Macaca mulatta: one gene and its partner. The protein of the gene in region 1 binds, or shares a complex with, the protein of each later gene. Links are inferred from orthologs where the notes say so. Each region holds a gene or a part of one and is shown in the gene's direction. Other genes may lie near its edges. The genes, in order: MEP1A and FETUB.

Region 1 (3,818 bases):
CTAAAATGCCACTTCCTCTGGGGGGCCCTCCCTGACCACTCTTTAATAAAATAGCTAACCTATCTCACCTCAGCACTCTTTCCCACCTTACCTTTCGTTTGTTTCTTTTTTATTGTACTTTCCACCATTTGTCATACTTTACAGTTATTTGTTTATTTGTATGTCTCCCTCTTCCCCCAATCAAGAGTGTCATCTCCTTAAGGACTTTGTTTTATTCTCTGCTATGTACCAGCATCTAGAAAAATGCTTCAGACACATTAGGCATTTAATAAGTGCGCACCACGTGAACAAATTGGGTAATGAATAGATTGAGGCTTGCTTTCACTGGATGTGCACTTCTTTGGGAAGTTCTCCCTGCCCCCCATGACCCCATCCATTCTGTCTGACCACTGGGGCCAAAGTCTGAGTGGGCTTGTTCACTTCACTTTGGAAGAGCTCCCTCAATTCCATTATAATCCAGGCCAGGTGTCAGGAAATACAGATTTTTGCTCAGGACAAACAAATAGTAGAACTATTCTCAATGAAAGAATAGATGGACCAGAACAAAGTCCCTTTATTTAAAAGATTATTCAAATCTGGGTCCTACTGACAGTGGTACAGTGATGTCATTACTGTTTGTGGTTGTTTAATTGCACTGCTAGCATAGGAATAGGTCAGGGCTAAGGAGGTTAAGCAATCTAGCAAATGTGTGCATGAGGAAGGGAATGATGCAGGGATAGCCCTAGTTAGTCACTGGCAAGTGAAATCATGATGCCTGCTAATACGTAACACCTCCTTGGTGTCCTATGCCTAAATGGAGCTGGTTCCTGAATGAACCATGGGCTTTGCCAAATGGGGCCTCTGTTGGCTCGTGAGACTGTGGTAATTAATCTCTGCTTTGGTTTCCCGGCCTGTAAATCAGGGCTGTCCTCAGAATGAAGTACAATCCAGTGATTCTGTCTGAAGTCGTTGCATTTTACAGAAAATGTTGCTTGTCACATGAGAGTTATGATAAGTGATGCTCTTTTAATGCTTGAGAAATTTTCCCACAAAGATCTTCCCTTTTAAGAATCTTGCTTACTGAAACAGGATGAGGCCAGGATTAAGCAATACCAGCAGTGGGAGAATGTATTCTGCTAAGCACCTGAGAACAGATGTTTGGAGGTATGGTTTTGAATGGATCTGTCCACAATCCTCTGGTCTTCCTTATGACGTGGGCAGCACCTTGAGCTTGGTTTTGGAGGGTATCATCGTGTTTTCATGGGGAAGAGCAGAATACATTCATCTACCCTGGGACAAGAGGCAGAATGGTACGGGGGCAGAAAGAGCCCTGAATGGGAAGGCCGGAGTTTTGATGCTCTCTTGGCCCCTGGATTACGTAGTACATCACTTCATGTCGCTGGACTCTATTTTTTTCTCCATTTTTCTCAATATTTTTCTTTTCTTTTTTGGGATGGAGTCTGGCTCTGTCATCCAGGCTGGAGTGCAGTGGCGCGATCATGGCTCACTGCAACCTCCACCTCCTAGGTTTGAGCAATTCTCCTGCCTTAGCGTCCTCAGTAGCTGGGACTACAGGTGTGCACCACCAAGCTCAGCTAATTTTTGTACTTTTAGTAGAGAAGGGGTTTCACCACATTGGCCAGGCTGGTCTCAAACTCCTGACTTCGGGTGATCCGCCCACCTTGGCCTCCCAAAGTGCTGGGATTACAGGCGTGAGCCACCACCCCCAGCCATTCTCTCAATATTTTTCATCCTCCTTATCAGTGCTGCCTCAAATCCCTTTTTTATAGTCAGTGATCAATAAAATCCCTTCTAACTTATCTCTTACTTTTAAGATTCTTAGACAAGATTTATTGTTTCAAAATTGAAAACAGAGGCTATGACAATATGTGATACTCATTGGCCATTCACATTTGCTCAACTGGAATTTTTGTATTGTTTCGAAAAGTTTTGCCACGTAAAGACTAATATTCAAAGATTTATAATGGCAAAGATTAATTTTATTATGGAAGATGCCTTTTAATAATGTTCACTCAAATATTCTTTTTTTAAAAAAAATTCCATTTCCAGCTGCAGGCTTGGACCTCTTTCAAGGGGACATCCTCTTGCAGGTGAGTACCTGTCAAAGATGCAGTAAGTTCCTCAGGACAGACAGTACCATTGGGTGTCAGTCTCTGCTCTGTCGCCAGCCCTGGGATGGGCACTGTGAAGGAGATAACAGAAATCTCATCTATAATCTGTTCCAGTGAGGAGTTCCACTATAGCCGGTAAGGACGAAAACAGAGGGAAAATAAGTAAACAGCACAAAAGAGTCTAAAATAATTAGATGGCTTATCTATCCAATTTTCCTGGGATTGCAGGCCCCCTTTATTTTGTTCTTAATAATTTCTCTGATTTTTCCAAATTATCTCTCAAGGGACTTCTATTGCTTTCATAATCAGAAGAGAAATTGCCACTAAACCGTTTGAATTGTGTGATAGACTGTTTGCTGTGTGAGAGTTTATTGAAGGAGGAGGTCAAGGTGATCTTGAGGACTAGGCTTCCCACTCACCTTTACCTTTGTTTTCACAGAACTCCAGAAATGGCCTGAGAGACCCAAACACCAGGTGGAAGTTCCCCATTCCTTACATCTTGGCTGATAATTTGGGTAATATTAATTGCTCTTAATTAGGAGTTTTCGGTTTAACTCTCTCTCCCCTCTCAGCCTGATCATGGGCTTCATATTGGGAGTAACCACCAGAGTCTAAGAGGGTTTTCAAGTCCTGGTGAATCTTTATCTCATGGGGAGAAAGACATGACATTACATCAAAACCAGTGCTGCTTAACCAGTCTGATACACAGTATCCAAGAATAACTTTTAAAATGCAACACACATTAAACTATTAGTATAACCAGGAGCAACGTAAAAGAGCAAAAACCCAATGAAATATAGTTTGCATCAGAGCAAGGCAAAGTTTGCACTTTGTTTAGGTGAATCTAAACGTAGTGTGAGGATCCTATTTTCAGCATACGGATTTCTTCTCTTTTTGTTACAAGAGAAACATGCCACACTTTGAGAAATAGAAAAGTGCATGTTTCACATGTTCACAATCCTTTTTTCTTGGTGTTATTAATGTCTACTCTTTTCTCTCTTGAGAAAAAGATCTGAATATGTTACATTTTACTCATTGTTAGAAATAATGACTAGTAGAATCACTTCTCTGCCTTTCAGCTAAGATTGTGTATAGAACTAACAGCCGGTAGAAATAAATATTAGAAGCCCCATGTAGGCACCCTCAAGCAGTTGACTGACAGCTGAGCAGCCATGATGACTCAATGCCTACAAGGCCCCACCTGCTTAGACAGATGGGCAAGATTAGAGTGAAGAGGGAAAGCCAGGACAAGGTTGCTTCATCTTGTTGGGCTGCTAGGCTGCTTATAGTCTCAGGAGATGTAGATTATGTTTCAGTATTTTCCATCCTCTTTATCAGCGCTGCCTCGAATCCCTTTTTATGGAGAACAGCTAGATATAAACAAATGTTGTTCTCACTAACACTTGGAAAATTGAGTTATTTTCTCCAGTGTTTGCCTTGCAAATTCATGGAACACCAATAGTTAATGGAACATGATTTAAGAAACACCAACTTTAAAAGGGGTTCTTTCCCATTACAGGTTCTTTTATCCTGGTTGTCACATCTCCACCACCCTATTATGTGCCGGGCACTGTGCCTTCATCTAATATTTTATGTAACCTTCACCATTGCCTCTGTGAGGTGTAAGGCAGTGCTTCTCAGACTGTAATGTGCATAGGATTCGTATGAGGAGCTTGTTAACCTACAGAGTAGGTCAGGGTTGGTGCG
Region 2 (4,274 bases), on another chromosome or scaffold:
CCATGTTGCCCAGGCTGGTCTTGAACTCCTGAGCTCAGTCAATCCACCCACCTCAGCCTCCCAAAGTGCTAGGATTACAGGCGTGAGCCACCGCGCCCGGCTTATTTTTTATTTTGAGGCAGAGTCTCACTCTGTCGCCCAGGCTGGAGTGCAGTGGTGTCATCTTAGCTCACTGCAACCTCTGTCTCCTGGGTTCAAGCGATTCTCTGATCTCAGCCTCCCAAGTAACTGGGATTACAGGTGTGCACCAGCACGTCCAGCTAATTTTTGTGGGTTTTTTTTTTTTTTTTGTATTTTTATTAGAGATGGGGTTTAGCCATTTTGGCCAGGTTAGTCTTCAACTTCTGATCTCAAATGATCTGCCTGCCTTGGCCTCCGAAAATGCTGGGATTACAGGCGTGAGCCACTGTGCCTGGCCTTCTATTTATTCTTTTAAAGTTCTTTCCTTAACCTTGTATTCTTCTTTTTAATGTTCGCTTTCCTTCCATTTATAAAGAAGCTTTTATAAGCAATGGTCTATACTTGCTTGTCTCCACTTCCTGAACTCCTATTCGTTTTTTTGTTTTTTTGTTTTTTTCCACAGTAATCTGGCTTCTATTGCCACCCCTCCTCTGAAACTACTACCAACAAAGATCACGGGGGAACTTCTGGATCAAATGGATACACGTTTAGCCCTTTATATTCAAGGTCTCCGTGGCATCTGACCCTCTGACCATGCCTTTCGTTTTTGAATGCAGTCCTTCCTGGCCTATGGAGCCTGTCTTTCTCCTCTGCAGCCTTTCAATCTCAGACCCTTTTTCTTTTAGCTCATCTTCCTCTGCTTCCTCCTTAAATATTAGTTTTCTCAGAGCTCCACCTCATTCTCATCTCATTGCCTTACCTGCTCTCCCAGAATGAGCTCACCCACTCCCAAGATTTTAGCCTCCACCTCTGGCTAATGATGATCTTGCTTATCCCCTTTAAGCCTTGAGTCCGTACATCCAACACATATTATGAGACTCCACTTAGAGATCGCTCAGATTCTTCAAATTTAACAGCCTCAAACTCAGGTCCCCATCCCCTCCCCCTTCCAAATCTGCTCTATTCCTGTAATGGTAGCTCAACTCTTTGACTCGGTCAAATAACCTGAAAACTCTGGAGTCATTCTTGATCCCTCACCCTTTCTTGCTGCCATATTTTGTGAGTCACCAGGTCTTGATTTCCTAAATCCTCATCATATCTCAGATCCAGTCCTTCCTCTCTGTTCCCACTGTCACTTCCACCTCTTCAGCAGTGTCTCCTCACAGGCTTTTCTCATTCACAACTGTATCACTCAGGGTTCAACCAGGTTTAGCATAACCAGGGAGGTATTGTAGGGAACTGGATTATGCAATTGTGGGGGCTGGATAAAGAGTCCCTGTAAGGCTGTCTCTGTATCTGATGCTGGAGCCTGAAGTCCACAGGGCAGGTGTTCAGAAAGAGAAGATGGATATGAAGTACGGGGAATTGACAGCAGATTGGAACCCGCAAGCATGAGCTGAGACCCTACAAGGATGGACCCTCACCCACGTCTGTTTTGGTTGCCTATGGCCTTGCTGGTAAGGGTATCCTGGAGAAGCTGGGGTCCTTTCATTGCTGCTACTTGGAATAATCTTTCTGAGAATCTAGTTCTTAAAAACTGCAGTGATTCCCCAGTACTTTTAGTATGCTATTCTAATCACTACAGCACCGAAGACTCTCAGGCTTTTGCTTGACTACTACTCCGGCCTTATATCTTGTCGTTACCTCACCATGCCTCTTCTCACCTCTTCCCTTCCACTTTCTAGTTCTCTCTCTCTCTCTCTCTCACACACACATACACACACACACACACACACACACACACAAGCACACACATATAATCTCAATTACAGTAGAAAAAAATTTACCCATAATATTTGGGGCCTGGTTTACTTAAAATTAATGAGAAAAGAGCACTTGAGCAATTTTGTTGTTACCTGCTAAAGCACATAGACAGCAAGAATTGTCACAAATTTTACACTACAAGCCAGATATCTCAAATGTCACATGAGATTTCATTTCAAAGAGTGTTACCCTGTTCTCATCAGAGAGGCTGTCCTCCCTGTGATCACTGATGGGTCCTTGGCAGCCCTGTGATATCTGTTATCTCACACTCAAGCAAATGATTCTTCAATTGTTACAATGCAGAGGATTGAAAACTAGGCAGCACTTATTTATTTATTTATTATCTTTTTGAGACAAGGTATCACTCTGTCACCAGGCTGGAGTGCAGTGGCACAATCATGGCCCACTTCAGCCTTGACATCCTGGGCTCAAGTGATACTTCTGCCTAAGCCTCCTGAGTAGCTAGGTCTACAGGTGCATGCCATCATGCCTGGCCAATTTTTAATTTTTTTTTTTTAAGAGATGAGGTCTTGCTATTTTGCCCAGGTTGAACTCAAACTCCTGGGTTCGAACGATCCTCCCAGCTCAGCACCACAAAGTGCTGGGATTACAAGCATGAGCCACTGTGCCCAGCTAGCTTTTTAAATTTTTATCCCCAACATCTAGCACAGTGCCTATCACAGAGCAGTTACTTCACTCACTGGAGAAGAACTTACGACATTACTTGAATGAAGGAACTTTTTTCTTACCCCCTAAACTCCTGATCCACCGGTCCATGGAGAAGCCCAGAAAGTCAAGCTTCACAGCCTCTCTCTGCACTTTTTTTTTTTTTTTTAAACAGACACTCACTCTGTCGCCCAGGCTGGAGGGCAGTGGCACCATCTCGGCTCCCTGCAATCTCTGCCTCCTGGGTTCAAGTGATTCTCCTGCCTTAGCCTACTGAGTAGCTGGGACTACAGGCATGCGCCACCACACACGGCTAATTTTTGTATTTTTAGTAGGGACGTAGTTTCACCATAATGGCCAGACTGGTCTCAAACTCCGCCCACCTCAGTCTCCCAAAGTGCTGGGATTACAGGCGTGAGCCACCTCTCCTGGCCTTTCTACCCTTTCAAGATAAGTTTTTGTTTACTGTGCTTGGAACATTCAAATGAAGATCATTTCCTAATGCTTTATCCACTGCCGGTGTGAATGCTATTGTTATAGTATTTCTGGAGAGCAATATGGCAAATTATTACAATTATTAATTAATTTTTTTTTTGAGACACAGTCTTGCTCCATCACCCAGGCTGGAGTGCAGTGGCGCAATGATAGCTCACTAAGTGCTCAAACTCCTGTTCTCAAGTGATCCTACCGCCGCAGCCTCTGAGTAGCTGGGACCAGAGATACATGCCTTCAAGCCCAGCTCATTTTTAAAAGGTTATTTATAGAAATGAGGTCTTGCTGTGGTGCCCAGGCTGGTCTTAAACTCCTGGCCTTAAGTGATCCACCCACTTTGGGCTCCCAAAGCACTAGCATGAACCATTGTGCCAGGCCTAAGATGGCAAATTATATCAGAAGTTTTAACAGTAAGAATTGCCCTTGACCCAGTAATTCAATTTTTAGGCATTTGTACTAAGCAAATAATTAGGGATATGAACAAAGATCTACCCACAAGAATGTTAATTGCAACATTGTTTATAATAGCAGAGAATTGGAAACAATCGACCTGTCTATCAAAGACAGTTGGCTTGAAGAACTGACTCACCTGTCAACAGACTATTGTGTAATAATTAAAAATTAAATTGCAGAAGTGGATTATTTCATATGTCAAGATGCTCAGGATCTATTGTTGTATTTTATTTATTTATTATTTTTTTTTGAGACGGAGTCTCACTCTGCAGCCCAGGCTGGAGTGCAGTGGCACTATTCTTAGCTCACTGCAAACTCCGCCTCCTGGGTTCACGCCATTCTCCTGCCTCAGCCTCCCAAGTAGCTGGAACTACAGGCGCCCACCACCACACCTGGCTAATTTTTTTGTAATTTTAATATAGACGGAGTTTCACCATATTAGCCAGGATGGTCTCGATCTCCTGACCTTGTGATCTGCCCACCTCAGCCTCCCAAAGTGCTGGGATTACAGGCGTGAGCCACCGCGCCTGGCTATTGTTGGATTTTAAAAGCAAGTTACCATATAGTAAGTGTACTAATACAGTATTTTTGTATAAAAATGCATGTGATATATGCATAGAGGAAAGTCTGGAAGGACATCCGTCAGCTATTAACAGTGTGGTCAAATATTTTTGTCTTTTTATTTGCTTTTAATTTTTCTATAAGGTGCATATCACTTTGGTAATATTCTTCTAATGAGAAAAAAAGTTTAAATAACTTGTAGTGAATTCTCCAAGCCC

Evidence for each region.
Region 2: the proteins of MEP1A (region 1) and FETUB are in contact, whole or in part, in a cryo-EM structure (PDB 7UAI), measured with the Homo sapiens proteins. The link is inferred for Macaca mulatta from reciprocal best matches to the Homo sapiens genes MEP1A and FETUB. Residues at the interface, in NP_005579.2 of Homo sapiens: Asp126, Gly127, Cys128, Trp129, Ser130, Glu131, Val132, Gln145, Gly146, Cys147, Tyr149, Ile152, His155, Glu156, His159, Tyr164, His165, Gln167, Ser168, Leu184, Gly186, Tyr187, His189, Asn190, Asp192, Tyr194, Tyr214, Gln215, Phe217, Ser218; in NP_001362516.1 of Homo sapiens: Phe109, Phe110, Lys144, Lys145, Tyr148, Met149, Thr150, Cys151, Pro152, Asp153, Cys154, Pro155, Ser156, Ser157, Ile158, Ser196, Ser197, Gln198, Trp199, Val200, Val201, Gly202, Tyr205, Phe206, Thr242, His245, Trp246, Phe249, Val250, Ser251.

Annotation. Positions count from the first base shown.
Region 1 is NC_133409.1:135,389,103-135,392,920, reverse strand, and holds part of MEP1A (meprin A subunit alpha), read left to right. Parts: intron 1-2,049; coding exon 2,050-2,090; intron 2,091-2,550; coding exon 2,551-2,626; intron 2,627-3,818.
Region 2 is NC_133407.1:98,808,201-98,812,474, forward strand, and holds the start of FETUB (fetuin-B), read left to right. Parts: upstream 1-1,295; 5' UTR 1,296-1,577; intron 1,578-4,274. UniProt on the Homo sapiens protein: Protease inhibitor required for egg fertilization.